3 linked regions of the Saccharomyces cerevisiae S288C genome follow. The gene in region 2 interacts genetically with the main gene of each other region. Each region holds a gene or a part of one and is shown on either strand. Other genes may lie near its edges.

What was found. Genes that interact genetically often act in the same process or in processes that back each other up.
Region 1: mutations in PXA2 (region 2) and COX20 together harm fitness more than expected from each alone (negative genetic interaction), as found in Saccharomyces cerevisiae (one large-scale study listed by BioGRID).
Region 3: mutations in PXA2 (region 2) and ENO1 together harm fitness less than expected from each alone (positive genetic interaction), as found in Saccharomyces cerevisiae (one large-scale study listed by BioGRID).

Annotation. Positions count from the first base shown.
Region 1 is NC_001136.10:925,793-928,578, forward strand, and holds COX20 (Cox20p), read right to left. Parts: upstream 1,119-2,786; coding exon 501-1,118; downstream 1-500. Other genes in the region: IVY1 (Ivy1p), read left to right, coding at 1-354; HEM1 (5-aminolevulinate synthase), read left to right, coding at 1,660-2,786. UniProt on the Saccharomyces cerevisiae protein: Involved in the assembly of the cytochrome oxidase complex. Required for the maturation and subsequent assembly of the mitochondrially encoded COX2, the precursor of subunit 2 of cytochrome oxidase.
Region 2 is NC_001143.9:84,937-91,045, forward strand, and holds PXA2 (ATP-binding cassette long-chain fatty acid transporter PXA2), read right to left. Parts: upstream 3,851-6,109; coding exon 1,289-3,850; downstream 1-1,288. Other genes in the region: HYM1 (Hym1p), read left to right, coding at 1-967; FAT3 (Fat3p), read right to left, coding at 4,348-6,109.
Region 3 is NC_001139.9:999,136-1,002,740, reverse strand, and holds ENO1 (phosphopyruvate hydratase ENO1), read right to left. Parts: upstream 1,815-3,605; coding exon 501-1,814; downstream 1-500. Other genes in the region: putative N,N-dimethylaniline monooxygenase COQ6, read left to right, coding at 1-218; PUP2 (proteasome core particle subunit alpha 5), read left to right, coding at 3,601-3,605.

The DNA.
Region 1 (2,786 bases), on a different chromosome or scaffold from region 2:
GAGGAAACGGGTGGGAATGACGTGGTGCTCAATGAACTACTAGAAGGAACCAGCCAACCTTCCACATCAAAAACATCTTTACCCAAATCCAAGGGGTCCTCAACGGTATCCACACCGAATCATTCACAGTCAAGTTCAAACAAGGACGGGGTACGAAACAATGGCGGCGGCAAAAATGGCGAAGATGAGGATACAGACAATTTGATGGGAACAGAAAATTCATTTTCTTTACCGCCTACGAGAAACTCTGCCGAGGAAACCACACAAACGTTTAAACAATTGTCCATTAAAGAAGATAATGACAATCACAGCAGCGATACGGACGGCATGCAAGACCAGTCAAGTAATATATAAAATTTGTAACTCTATGTATGCTTTTTATATAGAAATGGAGAAAGTGAACAATTGAAGTTATAGTATTTTCGGAGAAATGTTGCATATATACATAGGAAAACGGTTAAAAGGCCCTGCTTCTACCTTCTGTTTCCCCCTCGTTCTTTTCACCAGAACTTGTACCATTTCTTCTCAGAGGAGGCCTGAGATAAATTCTGGTTACTTTGTTCAAACTGACTCTGCTTTTCATTTTTGGCGGCCTCCCATTGCCCCGGCAGAGATGGGTCATGAGGGACATTATGGAGCATTGGTTTTTCCTTTTTCGCCACGGTTTCCTTTGCCAATTGTGCGATCTGGAAACTTTTTTGTCTCTTTAGCCTACATTGCTCCCATCCGACAATCGAGCCCAGTATCAGAGAGCTCATCGCCCAATTCGTGGCCTTAGTCGGGCTCTTATGGTATATAAATATAATAGATCCCATCAAGAACATGCTGGAAAACCCGAGCATGCCCGCGTCTCTGAAGCACGGGATTGAAGTCAGCTTCTGCAAACTAAAATCACTCCATCTGATCGAGTCCCAAGCCTCTTTCAAAGTAGCCCGTTCTTGCTTCTTGGCCAACTGAGAATTGGACAAGTCATCGGCAAACTTGGGTGGAGTGTCTTCTAAGAGGATCTTTTGACCCCGCGAGTAATTTGTCAGCACGCGATCACCATCTGCTTTACCCTGCGGTTGTTGCTGCTGCTTTTGATCTTCTGTCTGATTTGACCACGGCCACCAACGCATCTTTATATTAACTGTTGAGCTGCTCGTTACGCACTGCTGTGGACTTCACTACAATGCTTTACCGAGCAGTGGAGTTTGATATAGTGGTGGTACCCCCGACGGTGCTATAATAAGCTTGCCTGCACGGCTTACCCTACCGCTCGGAAAGGCCGCCTTCGTCGCTCATTGGTCTGCGGCCGCGGGCGCTTTTTGGTCATTGTTCATATATGAAGAAAGAGCAGGAACGGAAATTTTTCATCTTGCCTTGCCCATTGTTCTGATCCATGCGTTGTTAGAAATACAACGTTTGCATCATACCAAACTTCTCCATTCCGTCAGCTGATACTCTATTCGGTTGTGTGTTGCACCCTGCTCTGCTGTCTCTCAACCGTTCTTCCTTTACACGCCTTCCCTTCTCAGCTCGCGTTTCTTTTTTTTTTATCCCACTCTTTTCTTTTTTCTTTCCTATATATTGCCCATATAAGTTTGGTTGGAAGGAAAACTAATAGAGCTAGTTGTTGTCCCTCAATAATCATAACAGTACTTAGGTTTTTTTTTCAGTATGCAACGCTCCATTTTTGCGAGGTTCGGTAACTCCTCTGCCGCTGTTTCCACACTGAATAGGCTGTCCACGACAGCCGCACCACATGCGAAAAATGGCTATGCCACCGCTACTGGTGCTGGTGCCGCTGCTGCCACTGCCACAGCGTCATCAACACATGCAGCAGCAGCAGCAGCCGCTGCTGCCAACCATTCCACCCAGGAGTCGGGTTTCGATTACGAAGGCCTGATAGATTCCGAACTGCAGAAGAAAAGACTTGACAAATCGTACAGATATTTCAACAATATCAACCGATTGGCCAAGGAGTTCCCCCTAGCTCATCGCCAGAGAGAGGCGGACAAGGTCACCGTTTGGTGTTCCAACGACTATTTAGCACTTTCCAAGCACCCTGAGGTATTGGACGCCATGCATAAAACTATCGACAAGTATGGTTGTGGTGCCGGTGGTACAAGAAACATTGCTGGCCATAACATCCCCACTTTGAATCTGGAAGCCGAATTGGCCACTTTACACAAGAAGGAAGGTGCCTTAGTTTTTTCGTCATGTTACGTAGCCAACGATGCCGTCTTATCCCTACTGGGTCAAAAGATGAAGGACTTGGTGATTTTCTCCGACGAACTCAACCATGCGTCCATGATTGTCGGTATTAAGCATGCTAACGTAAAAAAACACATTTTCAAACATAATGACTTGAACGAATTGGAACAACTGCTCCAGTCATACCCCAAATCCGTTCCTAAACTAATTGCTTTCGAATCAGTATATTCTATGGCCGGTTCAGTGGCCGACATAGAAAAAATTTGCGACTTGGCCGACAAATACGGTGCTTTGACCTTCTTGGATGAAGTACATGCGGTCGGCCTGTACGGCCCTCACGGTGCAGGTGTTGCAGAACATTGTGATTTTGAAAGTCACCGTGCAAGTGGTATTGCTACCCCAAAGACCAATGACAAGGGCGGCGCGAAGACTGTGATGGACCGTGTCGACATGATCACCGGCACTTTAGGTAAGTCTTTCGGTAGCGTAGGTGGCTACGTCGCAGCCTCTAGGAAATTGATCGATTGGTTCAGATCGTTTGCACCTGGTTTCATTTTCACCACGACTTTACCACCTTCAGTTATGGCAGG
Region 2 (6,109 bases):
TGACGAGCTTTATACTGCCATGCATCGTGCCGACGTGTTCTATGAACTGCTACTTCATTTTGTGGATTTGGAATTCGAAGCAAGGAGAGAATGCATGCTTATATTCTCTATATGCCTTGGATACTCTAAGGATAATAAATTCGTCACAGTAGATTATTTAGTCTCGCAACCAAAGACCATATCTTTAATGTTGAGGACTGCGGAAGTTGCTCTACAACAAAAGGGTTGCCAAGATATCTTTTTAACGGTAGGGAATATGATTATTGAATGTATCAAATACGAACAACTTTGTAGGATTATATTAAAGGACCCTCAACTATGGAAATTCTTTGAGTTTGCGAAACTGGGTAATTTCGAAATCAGTACGGAATCTTTACAAATATTAAGTGCCGCATTTACTGCACATCCTAAATTAGTGTCTAAGGAATTCTTCAGTAATGAGATTAATATCATAAGATTCATTAAATGTATTAACAAGTTAATGGCTCATGGAAGCTACGTAACGAAAAGGCAGAGCACTAAACTGTTGGCCTCATTAATTGTGATAAGATCTAACAACGCGTTGATGAATATATATATCAACTCCCCAGAAAACTTAAAGCTCATAATGACTTTAATGACTGACAAATCTAAAAACTTACAACTTGAAGCTTTCAACGTATTCAAGGTGATGGTAGCAAACCCAAGGAAGTCAAAACCTGTTTTTGACATTCTTGTTAAAAACAGAGATAAACTATTGACGTATTTTAAAACTTTCGGTTTAGATTCTCAGGATTCTACTTTTCTTGATGAAAGAGAATTCATCGTTCAAGAAATTGATTCCTTGCCGCGTATAATTTCGTCCACAACAGAAGTTTCTAATAATAATGCATCCTCAAGTAACGTCGCCAGTATAACTTCTCCATCATCAGTAATGAACAATCAATCATCCATCTTAACACATTCAACTTCACCTGATTCAAGATAACTATAAAACTTGGTTCACTTTATAAAAAATGGAAAGTTCTCAGGCAGTGGGTCGTGACATGAATATTCAAAAGTAAAATTATATATAGGAAAGTGTTTATTTGCATAAAAAGGGAAAAATAGTTCAGACTTTTGTATTTTTACGTATTTATACAAAAAAAGGTTGGTACCGGAGGCTGAGGAAGCCAGTACAGTTGGATCCGGTACATGGAATTGAGCAATCAACCGTAAATATGAGCGCTTTCTCAAGATATTAAATTATTATAAAACAATTTATTTATCCAATTTATACATGATTTGGATCCTCCTTTGGCTATGTATGTTACCTCTCCTTTCCTTCTTCCTTTTTTGTTTTAACTTTTTTGTTCAAGCTTTTATTGTTTCTTAGTAAATTTGATGATGCTGAACTAGATGGTTGGGAAAATAGTGGTAATCTCTTACTAGTCTCCTGCCCTGTAGGTGATGTGATTCGCTGCCCTTTATTTGCATTAAACAATGCATTAGATTTGGACGTTTTTGGATCTTCGATCTTTTCAAAAAGATTCAGGTTAGTTTCTGATTTACGAATGATGTTGGATTCTTTAGCAATTGTCAGATCTTTCAACTTCCGCTCCCAAAGTGGCACCTGTTGATCCAAGATGGCATTTAGTTCAAGAAGTTTTTCTTCATTACATAACCTTTCCTTCGGGTTAAACGGTCCAAATTGGTATCCGCCTTTACCATCAAATTTTAACAGATAGTTATGAAAATGCCATAAACTTGTCCTGTGGCAAACTGATATTAACGAGATACCAAAATTTTGCGCATTTTCGTACATCCTTTGTTCCATTTCTGGGGCTACTGCAGATGTACATTCGTCGAGCACAGCAAACTTGGGTTTATGATAGTACATCCTTGCCATAGCTAACCTTTGTTGGACACCAATTGTTAATTCTTCGGACCAATTTCTTACTATACTGAATGCATCACGAACTTTAATGGCGCATGGTGACTGATTGTCTTCCGTCGACAACTGCTGTGAATCATTTTTGGAAGTCCTTTGCGCCAGCAGAAGTGACATATTTTCAGTGACTAAATCCTCCAAATCTAATAATTGCAGAATTTTTATTAAATCTGCATCGCCTAGATCATAATCATTGTGATATCTTTCTTTGAATTGTTCAATACTGTCTGGATAAATAATCTGTTCCCTGAATGTCGACCTATTGCCCATATACGGCCTTTGGGGTAAATAAAATATTGCGCAATCTCTATCCACAGTTCTACGCGGCATTATTAACTTGGATTGATGATTTTTATTGGGAGTCGCCCTTATCGGCCAAAGCCCGCCTAGAATACGAAATAATGAAGATTTACCGCAACCGTTGGGCCCAATAATTAGTAGATGATTTCCATGCTTCAGATCAAAACTTAGCTCCGGTACTAGAACTTGATTGGCAGGTGTTATTAAAGGAATATTTTCAAACTTTATCCTTGAATCATCATATTCCACTATACACCTTTCATCTCTTGGTTCTTTTTCGTCATCACCTTTATTAGCATCCAACAAATCATTGAACTTGTTCAATCTCAATCTGATACCGCGTAATTGTTGTATATTTCTCTTCAGTTCCACAAATCTTCCGATAGAGCTAGATGCAGTGACTAATAATCTTCTATTTGTGATGAAATCAGCCGTCATATCATTCCCGGGTTCCTTAAGCTGTAAGGTGTCTTCACTAGGTTTGTTTTTGAAAAATATTGGAATCGAGCATAGTACCAAGCCAGCTGCGCCCCAAGTATATTTAATGACAAATGCAGTAGCAACATCATAAATAGCTCTTGCCTTTATTTCTCTGTTTAAAAATAGCACCAAACGGTAAAATGAATAATCAACGTTTTCTAGTTCCCTCTTTTGCCCTCTTAGCAGTGCAATTTCTTCATTGCTTGAATGTAGATTCGAGTGTAAAGATCTGAACCAACTTTCCAAAGATGCGCTTGCCATAGTTAACCTAGTGAAATTCGGTTGAATCAATTTTAGTAATGAATTGGAGGCGTAGACAATTAAGCCCAGTGCCAAAGTTCCTTCACCCATAACACTAGTGTTTGAGGTTAATAATTTGAATGAACAGAGGATCAAATCCAGCATTGGCTTTAATAGCTGATTCAGTAATAATGACGAGTTCATTGAAAATGTGTAAATATCTTTTGTCAAATTATCCTGAATTTCTGAAACAGATTCAGCAGAAGCTACGGAATAGAAAGTATGGTGATTAGATAGATACTTTGAGAGTAGAAAGTCTGAAACTTTCCTATTAATAGTGACAGCACAAAGTTTTGTCGTGTAACTGATCAGTGAATTAATAAAACTGGCGGGAATTCCAAGGATCATCCATTTCCCCAACAATATCTTTGTGAAGTTTGCGTATTGAGCTCTTACTAGTGTGGACACTAATTGACCATCTAAAGTAGCCACACGAAGAGACAGCAATGTTCTGATGTTCAGAAGAATAGCCTGTGTAATAAATAAAATGAGGCACTTCTTATCATGAAGCAAAAGTTTGAACAAAAAATCTACCTTTCCTTTTCGCTCTCCCCCCTTATGATTAGTCTTGCTTTCTTTATCAATTATTATTGCACCATCTTCTGAATCTGTGCTATGTTTGGAGACTATCGTTAACTCTTCTTTGCTACTTTCATCTTCCTCTCTATCTACTGCGGTTTCTTTTCCCTCTTCAATTTTCTTATTTTCTAAAACCGTTGACTCAGAATCCTTCTTATCAGTTTTGTTGTTACTAGAACTGGAATTTGAATTGTAAAGCGTGGCTAGCAACAATATTATGTATGAAGAACGCAGTAAATTTACTCTATGCTTCTGATAAAATGCAGAAGCTGTTGAGATCATTATAAAATCTTTCTTCGGTAACTTTTAATTGTATTATTATCCCTTTTGAGTCTTTTCCATATTCAAGACGAACAAAATACAGATAACAATGTTGAAGACGTTTGTTTTGTACCGGATTGAGGACAAGATGATACTTAAATATAATATTATCTTTGATCGAGCAAAGCCATCAATATCATCATCTAACATTCACTTTACTCCACATTTCATTGCCGCCCTTAATCTTTCGGAGGGTGGTAAAAACTTTACGGTGATAGTTGTAATTAACGCCGAAGGAATATACATCAAAGACGAAAGAACATTAATTGCATATATTCCAAAAATATGAATAATTACCAAATTATTATTAATTTTTGTTTTGAAATTTAAATAAAGCTATTAAATAAGGATGATGGTGTGGTATGTACTATAATTCAATATAAGAGATTAAGATAACGCTGTAAATGGTTTGGTACAATTGAAAAAAAGTGATAGAGCATTTACGAAAAAGAAAAAAATTATGCTACCAAATGTGCATTATTGTTAACAGGTCCATTTGAATCTTTTGGTGTCACGTCGGGGTGACTTAGCTCTGTTCTATTACTCGTACTACCTGTGACATCTGTATTATTGGCAGAACTACTGTTGTCGATAGCGGTTATTTCATTACGATTCACCTGTTTTTCGAAATCAGCATCATCATCATCACCCAAGTTATGGTCGCCGAAACGGTCTGCAGAAATGGCAGAACCATCCCCATACGTGTAAATTTCGCCTTTCCTATTCGTCACAGATCCGGACATGTAACGACCACTCCGTCTGTTCCTCCACCACGTATAAATTATCAATCCTGTGGCGATAAAAGACAACGCAAATGCTGTCCATATCAGCCCTGTATAGGCGGGACCGGCTTTAAACACAACACCATATTTATCATCTGCCGTACCGCTCTTTATAATGGCAATCATAACGGATATGATAATGGCTGCCAATACAGTGGCTACACCAACGCAAACGTGTAGAGCTAGGGCAATGAGCCATAATGGTTGTTTGAACATATATCTGTTAAAGTACAGTAATATAATAAAAATCATGGTAAAGAAGGAAAAGATGATCGCTAAGAGGTTCAAAGCCAAAACAGACCTCACTGCTGGCACATATTGGTGCTCTCTGTGTAAAAGTTTCCCTTCTAGGTAAAGATCGTTGGCGCTAATATTCAGGGCGTTCAGATATGGTTGGAAGTCTGATGTGACTAATGCGTCATAAATAATCGATCTAAAATCCAAGTTTTGTACAGCATGTGGGGAGTTACAATCTAGGATCTTGTTTTCCAGGTTAGCATGGCATAGCGTGAAAATGGATAAGCGATAGTAAATCGGAATTTTCAGATACTCTAGTATATTCGGCGTCATGGCGTTCAATTCTTCTGCGGAAATCGGTTGGACGGATTTGGCATCCGCTAATATATCTAAAATGGGCAAGAAGGTCTGAGGGTTTTCTTGAGCCCAGGAAGTCAGCGTCACTAAAGATGAAAATGTTGTTTTAGGATCAGTGGATGCCCCTAAAAGACTGAAGAGATATGGAATGTACTGTACGGAGCTTGAATTACCGGATAGGCCCGATTGTAATTCGGACAAGATGGACAAAGTTTCGTTGGTGTTACTCGAGGAGCTTATCACATCATCTAATCCAATTAGCTGTTGAGTAGATTGAGTTGTATTTGTCACCGCAGCTAGAGATTGGACCGAAGTGACAACCATTGTCGAGTTGTCCGAATTTTCCATCAATTGGGTTAAGGCAGCAAACGCCTTTTTTGCAGATGATGACTGAGTGAGGTTTTGTTCCAGCAAATCAGATAGAGTGCTCAATGTCTGATTTGTAGAGGTGGTCTGGTTTAGCAGCAATTCCACTGCATCAAATGCGGGGGCGCTTGCCTGCGGCACTAGTGGTTGCAAAGTACTAAACGTGTTATTTAGGGAACCTCCGTTTGAAATTGTGTTTTGTAACTGAGTTAATAGTGTTTGGGCTAAAGAAGATGAAATAGTAGTGTTCATCAAGGTCGCCAGAGCCGTCATTGTAGCTGTTTGGTTCGTGGAGAAAGCGAATAGCCTGAATACCGGTAACAATTGCGCCTTTTCTGACATTGTCAGATTATTCAGAGTTAGCAATGCATCTGTGGAATTCTGTGGGTTATCGGAGTCTTTTAATAAGTCCAGAACCAAAGTAGTTGAGTCACTGGAAGAGTTAGAGCTTGCGGAAGACAGCGAAGCAGAAACTAAC
Region 3 (3,605 bases), on a different chromosome or scaffold from region 2:
GTTTAGACATTGGCTCTTCATTGAGCTTAGAACCCTTTTGGGCAGAAAGATATCCGTCGAACAACGTTCTATTAGGAATGGCGGATAAATTATTTAAATTATATCACACTAATTTTCCTCCTGTGGTAGCCCTAAGAACTTTTGGTTTGAATCTGACGAATAAGATCGGTCCAGTTAAGAATATGATCATTGACACATTAGGAGGAAATGAGAAATGAGAGGTATGTAAATAGAAATAGACTAGCTCCACTTTTAAGAATTATTTATGCAATTAAATACATGGGTGACCAAAAGAGCGGGCGGATACACGCGTCACCACAAGCAGAATAAAAGGTAAACCTGAAATTGTTTTAACATAAAATGAAAAATGCTTGTTTGCAACCCTATATAGAATCATAAAACATTCGTGACTATAAAATGAATAAACTAAACTATTCTAAGAAAATGAAATAAATGACAAAAAAACGTGTTTTTTGGACTAGAAGGCTTAATCAAAAGCTTTATAATTTGTCACCGTGGTGGAAGTTTTCACCAGCGAAAACAGCGTTGTCACCTAATTCTTCTTCGATTCTCAACAATTGGTTCAATTTAGCCAATCTTTCGGATCTAGCTGGAGCACCAGTCTTGATTTGACCAGTTCTCAAACCGACGACCAAGTCAGCAATGAAAGTGTCTTCAGTTTCACCAGATCTGTGGGAAACCATAACACCCCAACCGGCAGCGAAAGAGTCTTGAGCAGCCTTGATGGATTCAGACAAGGTACCGATTTGGTTGACCTTCAACAACAAAGCGTCGGCAGCCTTCTTTTCGATAGCGGTAGCAATTCTCTTTGGGTTGGTGACAGTCAAGTCATCAGCAACAATTTGAATACCAGCGGTCTTGAAGAAGTGAGACCAAGCTTCCCAGTCATCTTCAGCAAATGGATCTTCGATGGAGACAATTGGGTATCTCTTCATCAAGGAGTGGTACAAGTCAGCCAATTGAGGACCAGTCAACCACTTGGATTTGTCAGAGTTTGGATTCTTGAAGTCCAAGTCGTACTTACCGTCCTTGAAGAATTCAGAGGAAGCACAGTCCAAACCGATCTTGATCTTACCGTCGTGACCAGCAGCCTTGATAGCGTCAACAATCAAGTCCAAAGCTTCTTCAGCAGTTTGAATGTTTGGAGCAACACCACCTTCGTCACCGACGTTACCGGCAGAAGCACCGTATCTCTTCTTGGTCAAAGACTTCAAGTTGTGGTAAACTTCGGAACCAATTCTCAAAGCTTCAGCGAAGGTCTTAGCACCAGTTGGAGCAATCATAAATTCTTGCAAAGCCAAAGCACCACCAGCGTGGGAACCACCGTTCAAAACGTTCAAGAATGGAACTGGCAAAACGTATGGAGAGGTCTTGGACTTAGACAAGTCAGCCAAGTGCTTGTATAATGGGACATTCTTTTCAGCAGCGGCAGCTCTGGAAGCAGCCAAAGAAACACCCAAGATAGCGTTAGCACCCAACTTGGATTTGTTGGCAGTACCGTCCAAAGAAATCAAGAAGTCATCGACGGCCTTTTGGTCCTTAACATCAATGTTAGCCTTAACGAAAGCTGGAGCAATGACATCGTTGACGTTCTTAACAGCGTGCAAAACACCCTTACCCATCCACTTGGATTTGTCACCATCTCTCATTTCCAAAGCTTCGTGGACACCGGTAGAAGCACCAGATGGGACAATGGATCTGAAAACACCCTTTTCGGTGGTTAATTCGACTTCGACGGTTGGGTTACCACGGGAGTCGTAGACGGATCTAGCGTAAACTTTAGAGACAGCCATTTTGATTTAGTGTTTGTGTGTTGATAAGCAGTTGCTTGGTTTTTTATGAAAAATAGCTAGAAGGAATAAGGGATTACAAGAGAGATGTTACAAGAAAGAAGTAAAATAAATTTGATTAATATTGCCATTATCAAAAGCTATTTATATGTTGAAATCGTGGAGATCATGTGTGCCAGAAAAGGCCACAGTTTCCGGGGAGAGGCATACCTTGAGGTGGCTAGGAATCACGGAGACCTCTTGACTTGCAGGGTAGGCTAGCTAGAATTAAGTGAGGTGACAAGGTTTCCATACAGTTTTGACCTTGAGACGTTGCTACTTACGATTTGCAGTATGCAAGTCTCATGCTGCAAACAAAAGAGGACCGCTCAGGTAATCGCTCAATTAGTGGACGTTATCAGGGGCGGGAGAGGCGAAAGTGGTTTTTGGTGGTGTAAGTAAAGGTCGTCCAAATATGCAGGTGTTTGGGTGCTATCCTAGTGGAAGCTCGGATCAGTAGATAACCCGCCTAGAAGCGGTATTTTTCTTTTTTTTTCTTCCTTCTTTTTCGTCATTATTTCAAACGCTTTTGCGTCAAGTAATGAATATCTGGCGGTTCCGCGGTAATGCGACAATTTGTGATATGCACTCTTAAAACCCCGCCACGATGATCGCACGTGCCGGCATTTATAGACGACTTTTCTGGTTGTCCCGCTTCACGGCACATGCATGCATCAATGACCGAATTCAGGTTGCTACTAACCATTGTGTTGTGTTATTGCTGTGCATGAGGTGCTCAAGTGCCCGCGGCATCTGACTAGTGGTAACTCTAGACGGCTTCGATGCAGAGAGTTCCTCAAAATTTTTCTTTTCAATTGTTTGCCTGGTTTCCGCGGCGTATATCAGTTTTTGGCGATATGGTAACGCGATACTCTACGGCACCTTCACGGTAGATGTCTTTTTTAAAAGTGACTGTTAATTCCAGGATTGAAAGGAAGTGTCGAATAGTATAGTATGCTTTCTACACTTATAGTACACTACTAGGTGTATCAGATCAATTGGCCCTTGATAAAAAGCGCTGAGGAAGGAAGGATTCCTATTTTGACATAGCTTTCAATATAGGGCCATTTATATCCATGTTATATATACAATATACTTATGTGTCAATTATTAGAATTGTTGAAGACATTTGTAGGTGAGAAAGTTTCTTGTTTGTCGAGAAGAATTTGAGTCATAATCTTTATATCAAATAACTCTGGATAAGTGCTGTGCATTTCAATAACATGTTGTAATTACTATATATTAATGAAGATAAAAGCTCAGGTTCATCGCATGTGGCGCTATAATGCTTTTTATTTGATAATGTTCCACTTGTATTTTTTTTTTTTTTTAAAAAAATTATCTTTTTTTATAAAGTATGTGAGAAAGAAATAACAAAACATGAACTTTTTTCAAGAATAATGTAGCCCAAAAAGTAAAAAAGGACACTTTTGCAACTACTGCTGAAGACTTTTTACTGAAATGAATTGACTATCAAACATATTATAAGCCAAGCATAGATGAAAGTACGCCGATTTTTTATTAAGCGTGCAAACATGAATGTAGCCCAAGTCCGTAAGGATAATTTAGTGCTTAAATTAAATAAATCACTATTCACGAAAATATTTTTGAAATTTCATTATACAGGGTTATCATAAACCAAGACCGGTGGCAAAAGAGTAACCTAGGAAATTGGACAAGAGAGCGCTATAACTATAGAATACAAGTCAATAAGAACATAAATTCCAATTGTCTAATATAACTAGAAAGGATGTT